Linked DNA regions of Drosophila melanogaster. The gene in region 1 interacts genetically with each later gene. Each region holds a gene or a part of one and is shown on either strand. Other genes may lie near its edges.

What was found. Genes that interact genetically often act in the same process or in processes that back each other up.
Region 2: of kek5 (region 1) and sax, changing one enhances a phenotype caused by changing the other (phenotypic enhancement), as found in Drosophila melanogaster (one study listed by BioGRID).

What each region holds. Positions count from the first base shown.
Region 1 is NC_004354.4:19,351,297-19,356,185, reverse strand, and holds the start of kek5 (kekkon 5), read right to left. Parts: upstream 3,006-4,889; 5' UTR 2,533-3,005; intron 1-2,532.
Region 2 is NT_033778.4:7,804,698-7,810,587, reverse strand, and holds sax (saxophone), read right to left. Parts: upstream 4,105-5,890; 5' UTR 4,051-4,104; coding exon 3,990-4,050; exon of another isoform or gene 3,576-3,989; intron 3,517-3,575; coding exon 3,387-3,516; intron 3,273-3,386; coding exon 3,237-3,272; intron 3,020-3,236; coding exon 2,944-3,019; intron 2,881-2,943; coding exon 2,222-2,880; intron 2,079-2,221; coding exon 1,668-2,078; intron 1,607-1,667; coding exon 1,381-1,606; intron 1,319-1,380; coding exon 1,169-1,318; 3' UTR 521-1,168; downstream 1-520. Other genes in the region: TTLL12 (tubulin tyrosine ligase-like 12), read left to right, coding at 1-482; Nop17l (Nop17 like), read left to right, coding at 5,852-5,890.

The DNA of each region.
Region 1 (4,889 bases):
TTAACGTTATTTATGATTTTTCTAAAATCCTTATTCAGGCTTTCCTTGGATAATCTTTAATTACACTTACTTGGGTTGAATGTAATATTACAGATGTGAGATGTTCAAAGCCATAGAAAAGAAAATCCCTTTCATGTGCTTATTTGGTTTTTAATTGTAAATCTTATTTATTGCAGAACGTTTTTTACAACATTTTATCTATAAGATTGACGACTAATCTATGCTATGTATGTATGTACATATGGCTTCAAGTGCTTGTTTATAAATGTCTCACATGTTCCTTTTAGTATCATTTCGATTAATGGTTCATGTAGAAAATAAAAAAAAAAACAATACTTAAGTGAATTTTGTTTAATAATTGCTTTCAATCAAATACATACATACACATTTCTAATTGGTCTTGATCGTTTTTGTGGCAACTGTACATATTGTATGGGTACCAAATTTGTTGTTTCTGTTTGATCCAAGTGTTTTGTGAGACAAAAATTAAGTGTAGATTTCTGCACCGCTTTTCTATGTTACTCAGTAGAAAGAGTAGGGAATATTTGTCTTTTGAAGTGGAAAATCTATTTTCGTCATGAGGAAATCATAATAGTCGTACGCATCCCTAAATCGAAAAATTCCATTTCTGTCATATTTAATTTGGCTTGTAGTAAAAAGGCGCCCCAAAATTAGATCCATAATCATATTATACCATTTAATACCCATAAAAATTTAGGGTAGTAAACATAAATTTTGACTACAGATTTTATATTTTCCGTAAATAACGCGCACTATTTTAATTTATAGCATTTCTAGGATAGTATACATATGTATAAACTCCATTTCCGTCAAAAGATTGATGAAACCAGATGAAGCATTCCTCAAAGCGAATGCATACACTGCATACACATCAAAAATGTTTGGGCGTGGGTATATCCTCCAATTGTTTCCCAACAACTCTTATTGGCACTTTTTCTTGTGGTCTTAATTTCTGGGCCGCAATATTCGCATCTTTGCTAATCCCTTTGTTTGTTTTTAGCTTTCCCGATTTCCCCTGTCCTCCTGCTACATTTTCGCTCCTTTCGCCTGCAGTTCTTATTCGTCCCAAGGATAAATTCATGAAAACAAAAAGTGCTCCGCCAAAAACACCAACTCACACACACACACACACACACACGCACCTACATACCTACCAATAATACCAAGGTAATAGCACCCGCAGAAACACACGCACACTTCGACAGTACCACTGGCGGCTAACTGTACTGCATGGACAAACACACAAAAAAGCGAACAAGAAAGTAAGCCGAAACTTACATACCCTTGCAGTAATAATACAAAACACCTGTATACCGAGCAATACTTCATGATTAAGAACCGATGATTATTTTATCACTTTCAGTTAATTTTCTTATTTTTCCTATGACAGCTATGTACATGATGCAATAGCTATAAAACTGAGACTTTTTTTTATGGAAATGGACAGACAAACGGACAGGTGGACCGTTAATTAGACTCTAAATACTGATCATGATATTCCGATATACCGAATTTAATGTGCCATCTGCAAGGGTATATAACCTGAAATAAGAACAGAGAAAAAGTTAAGTTTCTCTTCTGTTCGCTGTCTTCTAATTTCTGTTCGTGCTTTTGTTCTTCCCTTACTGGTTTGTTTTGTTTTGTTTTGTTCTGCGTTTGTTTGTTTGTTTTTCTTTCTTTCTTAATTTTTGGCAACGTCAATTACACGCGAAACTTCTTGCCTGAGTGCTTAACCCTTGGCAGGGCGCGCAGGTAGTGAGCGCTCTCGTATTAACCCTACAGCGCTCACGCACACACGCGTGAAATATGCAGAATATATGGTTGCAAATTAAATATCATATTGCATATTAGCCACCAATTTGCAACGGGATCAGTGTATTCTGGCTAAACGAATTAAGTTAGTTCAGTGGGGAAAACAGCGATCTCCGTGCGGATGGTTCGTTACTTCAGTTTTTGGGGGTTAATGGCTTTTAAACTGCAGACTGCACTTTACGTACATACGTACATATATACCTAAATATATATGTTTATATATACATATGTAATATGTATGTTTTCTTCATTTCTTTGCCTTTCCCTTATTTTCCTGCCTTCGGAAACGCAAATGATGCAGTTTGTTTGATTCATTTGACATTACAATTGCTGCAGCTGCACGTTGTTGTTCTCGTTTTGTTGTTGCTGCTGCTTCTGGCGATGCTGCATTTTGCTTCAGTTTCAGTTTTTCATGTTTTTCCAAGCACAAACCACGCTGCAGTCGCTGCTGTTGTCGTTGTTGTTGTTGTTATCATTGCTGCTTCTGTTGTTTTGCAGGTAAGTCGAAGATGAGTGTTGAACCGGTTCAACGGGTACACACGACTACCATTGAAAGAAGCCACATACGTACATGAAGACAGACACACACACTCTCACACACGGGCAGCACTTACACTCTCCCTCCCGCTCGCTCGCTCTATCTCTCCCACTCGCACTCTATGCACTTATTTTAACTCTTTATCTCTCCACTCTCTTTACCACGCTTTGTGTTGATCCGCTCTCCGCTCCGTTATTTACTCCACGGCGTGACTTTTCCAAATATAATCACCTTTTGGCTTTAGCTGCTTGTGAGGGGGTTGAAGTGGTGTGTGGGTGGGGGGGGCTTGTTGTTGTTTTCGTTTAAGGGGTATCACTTGCAAGTAACCGAAAAAAAAGTGTGAGTAATGCACTCCGGGACAGCCGCAACAGCCGCGTGTTTGGCGGCGTTCGAAAAAAAAAGCAAACACACACACACTAGCCGCCACTCAACTCAAGTGAACTCCACGCGACGCGAGGCGAGTCGAGACGACTTTTCGTGTTTCGTTAACCGCGACTGTCCATTCAATTGGCGGCAACAACTGACTGCTTCGCGCACTCGAGTACGTACATATGTGTATGTGGGTGGGCGATGCGCTCGACGTTTCACTCTAGCAACAACCTACGCGACCGGCGTTTGCAACAACACTGCGACGCACATCTGTTCGAGAGCAGGCCGCTCGAGCCGCATCGAACCGAGTCGCAGCGAACCGAACCGAACTAAGCCGAGCCGTCATGCAACATGTTCGACTGGAACGTCAGCTGAGGGGTTGCAACAGCAACAAAGCACTGAAACAAAACGTGTGTAACGAATTATAAAATCAAATTTACGGCGATTTTTCACTTAATGAATGTATACAAAAACAAAAAAAATTAAAATCAATAATTTTTTTTCAATAAAAAAAAATAATTTTAGTTATCACCATAATCAAATCAAACAAAACCATGGTACGAAAGTCGTGACAATTTTACCCTTAACGATTCTGATGCCAATGAAATGTGTTTTTTTTTTTTTGTCTTATTGTACAGCTAGGATGTTGAGATTAAGCATACATGTTCTATACATAAACATAGACGCAGAGCCAGTTTGTTGACCCATTTTGCCACGCCCACTCTAACGCTCACAAGCCGCCAAAAACTACCCAAGCAATTTTTAAATAGTTTCTTATTTCATTCCCCAATAATATCTACCTAAGAAAAATGTTAAAATTTCGCGTTCGCATTTCCATTAGCCAAGTAACCGATATACTCGACTATAGATTCTCCCTTCTCAAGAACAGAGCTCAGTACAAAATATATACATATGTATTCAAAAAATCAGTTGAACACAAAATAAGAATTTCAGCTCCATCGCGAACGTTAGAAACTGAATGAATTCATCAGCCAGTTGACAGAAGTTTGATTTTAAGACCTCTGATCGTCGAACAAAATGGAAAGGAGCTGCTGCTTGGTAGTGCAATTCATTTTAAAATTTCAGCGGCTAGCATCATTAATTACGTCACCGGCGAAAAAAGAAGGAAAGTGAAGCGTTCTCTGTGCCCCTGAATAACTGCGAAGAATTAAGTACGTCAGTAAGGGGAGAGCATACACGCGCCCATGTGTGGAGCCAGCCAGATACACTGCGAGAAACGAGTGGCAATTCCAATCCAATACATAAATATGTAAGGTTCCCTTTACATAAAATTAAATAGTAAGGTATCATGGGAAACCAGTACACATTGATAATAGCATAAGAGCAATGGCATTATTACTACATTTCAATGAAAGATACTTTAAATTGCTTAATTTTGGAAGTTTTCGATGTTTGTTATTATGCCTTAATATTAATATAGCTTTATTTCCTATTTATTTATAAGAGATACCAGAAAGTGAAGCTAATTTTTTATTAGACCTGAAGATTTAAGAGGCATACGCAGCGCAAGTTAGTTGTCAAGTAATGTTGGCACCTCCACTTTAACGCCCACAAATCGCTCAAATCTGCCACGCCTACACTTCTTGAAAATGTTTTGAAATGTAAAAGTCGACAACTAATTATGGACACCCTAATTTTAAATTTGGTTAATTTGATTTCTAATTAAAAAAATTTAAACAAGCAAAGTAAATCTTTTACAGAAAAAATACTGGTTTTTTTATTTATTTAAAAAACGCATCTTTTGTTATAGGGAAATAGAAGTGTTGGCGAGCAATCGATTTTTTCGCCAATTGATTGTGTAAGTTTTAAAATAAAAGATGTATATTTTTTTGATTTGAAATGCAGAAACTAAATGAAATGCTGCTCGATCATGATAGGTTACAATTGGTATTGCAGCATTTTGAAATGTACAGTAGACTAAACACAGATGGACGCCAAATTAATTATGACAAATTATGCTATAAACTGGGCACATAAGCACCAAATCAAGCTAGGATCATAAAAATAGAACACACATTTCATGAGAACAAGGTAACCATCTTCTATGTTCGTTTTATTTAATATTCTTTTATATCCTTCCTATCTAGGACTTACATATATTTTCATTTGGTGAGTAAACATTTCAACA
Region 2 (5,890 bases), on another chromosome or scaffold:
ATATACACCGGAAGTTCTTCCTGCGTTTCGCAAACCATCCCTTCACGCTGGATCACTTCGATGACTACGAGAAACACTACACGGTGATGAACTACCAGACGGAGGCGCAGCTGCATCACGTCAAGTGCGACGACTTCCTGACGCTCTGGCAGGAACAGTATCCGGATAACGATTGGTCGGCTCTGGAGCAGCAGATCTGTAGCATGCTGCTCGAGGTGCTTCAGTGCGCCAGTCAAGCAGATCCACCCTGCGGCCTGGCTCCTTGTGCCCAATCACGAGCTCTTTACGCAGCCGACATCATGCTGCGGTGGAAGGACGATAAGGAGAAGTTGATGGAGCCCCAGTTGCTGGAAATCAACTGGACTCCGGACTGCAAACGCGCATGCGACTACTATCCCGACTTCTTCAACGACATCTTCCGTCTGCTCTTCCTAGACGAAGAAAACGACGATAGCTTCCGGGTACTGACGCCAGACAATTGACATTAACCGAGCAAATAAACCCAGTTATCCCAAAGTTTAATGCCTATTCGTGTATTTCATTTCGTTTAGACTATACAAAACTTAAATAGCTTGCCATTTGTACAATATACAAGTAGGTGTGTATGCTTCTATGCGTGGGTATCTAAGTCCTAAAGGCTTAACTAACTAAGATAGCAAGTCAGTTGGTGGTGTGGCTTATGGTTTTATCATAGCATGGACAAGTTCTAGAGTTATGAATTTAGTGTAAAGTTCAAAGAGTGAGCTTAAAGTTAAGGCGTTTACAATTCTCAATTGCAAATGGCACTTGATGAACAATGAATAATGGTAAATAGTGAAATGACAACTTTACAGGATGATATCCCAAGAACATACATTAGAGTCGATGCTAACTTTAACTTAAGGCAATTTCAAAGGCACCCTTTTCAGGCTAGGCTCACGGTGGAACGGAAACGATAAAGTCAATCCAAACATAAAGTAAATATGTTAAAGTCTTCTATATAACTATAAGCTCCCAAGGGTCTTGTACTTGGATTAGTTTGCTTCAACACGCAGGATCTTGGCTTAGCTTTGAATAATATACCTACGAACTAATAGTGTGAAATGCAGGGTATGTCAATGAATGAATCTTAGACTACCTATGTGGTACAACTAAATTACCGCTTACAGCTAAGGCTCGACTACTACCACTAAACGCAGACCTCGTCGAAGTCCAGGCGTATCTTCTCGTCAGCGGAAGCCAGCTTATGTATAGTCTTTTTGATGCGCAGCGCTGGCAAGCGCACGTCGGGGTTTTGGTGCCAGCACTCCTTCATGAGCTTGGACATGCCAGTCATTAACTAAAAAATGAGAACAACAATGAGATCAAAGATCTAGAGAATGGCAATCGAAAGCGACTTACCGAATCCGAGCTCCAGCGATTGGGAATGGAGGGCCTGTAGTTGTCGATGCAGACCACCTTGCGCATATCCTCGAAGCTGGGATCCATTGGCACCACATCGTAGAAGGGCACCTTGTACTCCTCTGCTATGCCGCAAGAAATGGTGCGGCGACAAACCTCCCAGAGGACAAGTCCAAATGCGTAAATATCTGTCCGGCGTAGTGCTTCGAAGCATTCTAAATCAATGCTACAATAGACAAATTGTTAATGTAAAAATATTCTTTTTTGTACTGCCAATAAGCACACACCTTTCATCAAGAACCTCTGGGGCCATGTAGCGCTTGGTGCCCACTTTGGGGTTGTTGCCCAGGTCCAGTTGTCCTGTGACGTGCGAATGGGTAACGGCCAGTCCAAAATCGGCTATCACGCAGGAGCCGTTCGAGGTGACCAGTATATTCTTTGACTTCAAATCGCGGTGGGCCATAGCTGGCTTGCCTTGCTTGCCGAATATCTCTGTGTGCAAGTGTACCAGCCCATTAGCTATGGACAGGCAAATCCATACCATATCGTTGTGGCTTAGGGCGTTACGGTTTAGGTGATCAAAGAGCGAGCCCAGTGGATAGTAGTGCGTCATCAGCCAAAGTTGGGTGCACGAGTTCCGCGACGTCATGTCAGAGCCGATGAATCCCAGAATATTTTCATGTCGTAGCAATATGGTGCTGAAAAACAAAGAACGATTATTTATGATTCATAGAGCAACAGGTAGGTAGTCATGACTGGACTAGGGCACTTTTCTTCTGGGGAAACAGTTAAAAATTTCTACAGCTACAAATTACAGAGTCACAAATAATCTGTTGCTCACCTATATATCTCTGTCTCCCGCTTCCAGGACTCCTCGTCGCGACTGAAGAATATCTTCACGGCGATGCTTTCGCCATGCCAGTGACCGCGCCAAACCTCGCCGTATTTGCCTCGTCCAATGCACTCGATCAGGGTGACCTGTTTGGCTAGCGTACGCTGCACTAGCAGCGGCAATCCGCTGCCCGAGCCGGAGGTCACCGAGTGCTGCAGATACTCCCTCAGCGTACTGTCCCCGGCGCTGGTGGCGCGGAGCAGCTCATCATTGACCAGATACGCTTCCGGGTCCTGTTTGGTTCGCGAGGCAGCCAGACGCTTGCGATGGCTACGACGAATGAAGAAGATGGTCACGGCGCCCAGCAGAGCGATGACCAGAAAAGGACCCAGAACGGCGACGAGCATCTTGCTTATGCTACTGGTATCCGCGGTTATCACCGTCACATCATTGCTGTCGAAGGGCAGCAGTTCCGGAAAGTCTCCCTCATTGCAGTAATCACCGGCACAGCAGACCACATTCACGAACTTCCCCGTATTGCGTTTACTGGGCCCGTTGATCTTCAAGGAGTTCTGGCTGCAGATCATGGGCAGTTGATCCGGCGAGGTGCTGCAGCCGCGTGACTCCTGCACCTGACCATCGGCATCGCGTGTGCGCGACTTCCAGCACTGTTGAAGTTCGGAAATTAAGTTACATTTAAGTTTTAATCAAGTTTAAGGTGGAGTATTCACCTGAATCGCATTCTGGCAGGTGTGGGTAAACTCATAGGGATCCCGACAGGGCGGCTCGCAGGAGTAGCATTTGTATCTGATAAAAAAAAGAGAGAGTTTAATAAGATTGAAGAAGAATCGGTTACGCAAACGGGCAGCTTTTAATTGTTAACATTTGGGTATAAAAGTATAATATACTATAAAATATTTAAAAAAAATGGGGTTTTTTAAGTAAAATTATGAATATTTTCAAAATTTTAACTAAAAGTTAACCAGTTTATGATGTTTTAGTTCATGAGTCGTGTAGGTTTTACCTTCTCTTCATGCGGCGCTTACTCTTAATGTGTCTCCTAATTAAGGATTAGCAGCATGGCAATTAGGAGGGAAATGAGATTAGCAATACAAAGCCTTTGGGCGGAAGCGGGAGCTACAAGCTATGGGCTCAAGACTTAAGATATAATCACCTGGGATGCGTCTGCACCGAGTTCTGTGGCACGGCCGGTAGCTCCTTGCCATTGAGATGGGCGGATGAGGCGGAGGAGAGCTCCATGTCTAAGTCCGGTATGTCCTCCCGCAGATGATCGCTGATTTCGGCTGAAACATAACAAATGCACATTAAACCATATGCACATAGCATATACATATGTACACACATGGACGGCCCAACCAACACAAACGCCACCAGCACTAACACACACACACACATGCACACAGGCGCCCCAGCAAGTTCTGTATACACACACAGAACGGTGGTGTGCGTGGGTAAATCATTGAGAAAATGCACTTATGCTGCAAACGCCCACGACATCCGTTTATATAATACATTCTGTGGGATCCATCAGGTGCTTCTTTCACCAATCAGCATTCCGAGGGCACTTTTTTCGCCTTGGCCTGGCCAAATACGCAACGCAATTGGCCAGAACCGCAGCATATGAAAACAAACCCAAAACACTCAGTGACTTTTCAAGGCATTATATGTGGCTCTAAAACCCCATAAAATCGAAATTTCTCTTGCGCACTCTCTTCACCAAGCACTTGGTAATTGATTAACACTAATTGATGCCCACCTCTGGCATTATTGTACAGCAGAAACGTCAATAGAAAAACTAAATATATATTGGACTCCATTGCTAGAAATGTTATTTGTCCGAGCCTATCGGAACCTATCGATATACTTCTAGCGGGCAGTGTGACCAGGGCCCACATCTGCACATAACATATTTCACATAAAATACCGGGTCTTCAAATTTCCCAAATCCCCTGCGTAAAAATACCAAAGCACAACACGCACACCAACACGAGCAGCCGGTCAGCGGAAAAGTTTCTAGAACGTCAAACTCGAACTCCCATCAAAGAGTCTTTGGCAAAGGAGCCCATTTAACAGACAATTATTTTATTCAGTGCCGTTGTGTTCACAAAGCATAATTGTGTTCAATTTAGGTAAGTGGAGAAGCAGGAGATCTTCAGTGGAGGAGTTTTCGTGCCATTAAGTTGTTTTCCTGAGTGAAATTAACGGATTTACCTACCCGGTGTCATGGAATATAACAAAACATTTGCTTAGTTAGGGTTTTCATGTCCACTGCGACCGGTTTGTCCAGAAAATCAATGGGTTTCAGCTAGTATCGATCAAACGACAGAGTTTTCCCCCTCCCACAGCGCAAACATGTGTTTTTAGTCACGTAACTGTTATAATTTTCCTCGTTTTCCTTGCAATGGAGAAGATACACACGCCGTAGGGAATCATCTTACTGACCCCCCAATTACCACCCCCGCCCTCCTGCACATATATGTATGTACATAAGTTTGTAATATCAGTTGGCAGACGCAATACAAACATTATCTTTGTATATACATACATATGTGTGTAGAGATGTGGTCGTTTATTGTACAATTAGTTGGGTTGCGCCAGAAATCGCATAATGTGTGTGTGAGCGCAGGGGCTGCGGGGGCAGAATCCCGCTAAACAAAAACAATTGGGGCAAGTGGTTTTTTTCGCGCTTATCAAAAGCCCCTCACTGCGCAGAGGACGCTCTCTCTGTGGGCCGCTCGACTCGCAAAGAGCCTCCAATATTTGCCGGCGTTTCGGGCGTAGCGCTCCCATTCTCATAAAAACGCTCGTCGGGAAAGCATCGCACCAAAACTCGAAAAAAAAAACAGAAAACATTTACGCGTTCTCCTAGAATTTCACAAACTACGCAGTTCGTTTATTTATTTATTGGCCGACAAGTAAAAAAAAAACTCGTGGTCAGTTTGTAGTCATCTACACACATGTGTATCTACTTACATAATGCCCGTAAATCCGGCGGATAGCCGGTGATTTTCGACAGCGACCTTTCTGCGTCATTGATTTAATATTTATTTGCCTATCTGCTGATTAGAATTTGATTAAATGCCAGCTCGGTGTTTTTTTTTGGCTGCGAAATGGTCAGGACCTAGGGCAACCTTGGGACCTGGTACTTACTTGGCTTATCTCAGATTCGATTGGAAAGTTTCCAGAGTTTCGCCAGGTTCCGCAAGATTTAGTCATGCCCTCAAGGTTTATTTGCAAAACTATAAAATAGCCAGGTATACATAGAACTTACATATGTATAGCCGAAACAGAAAAACTAGTAATTTTTCCCAAACGACTTGTCTTGTTGTTATTGCAGTTATACATTCGTAATATAAGATAGCTGATTATCTTACAAGATTGTCCGTACTTACATCTATGTTTATTTGTACTTTCAGAACCTTCCAGAAATAGAAACCCAACGCATTTGCCAAGGAAACGTGGCCCAAAACTGAGCAACCCCTAACAAATAGAAACAAACAAAAAATCAAAACCCGTCGAAGTGATAAGAAAATTTGTATTTGTGTAGTAAAAGTGCCGAGGAGAGAAGAGGAGACCGAAGAGATCCCTCCGTGAGTGAAGTGTGCCTGCGAGAAAGCTATGTCCGCATCTAGATCGCGTAATAAACAATCCAAACTT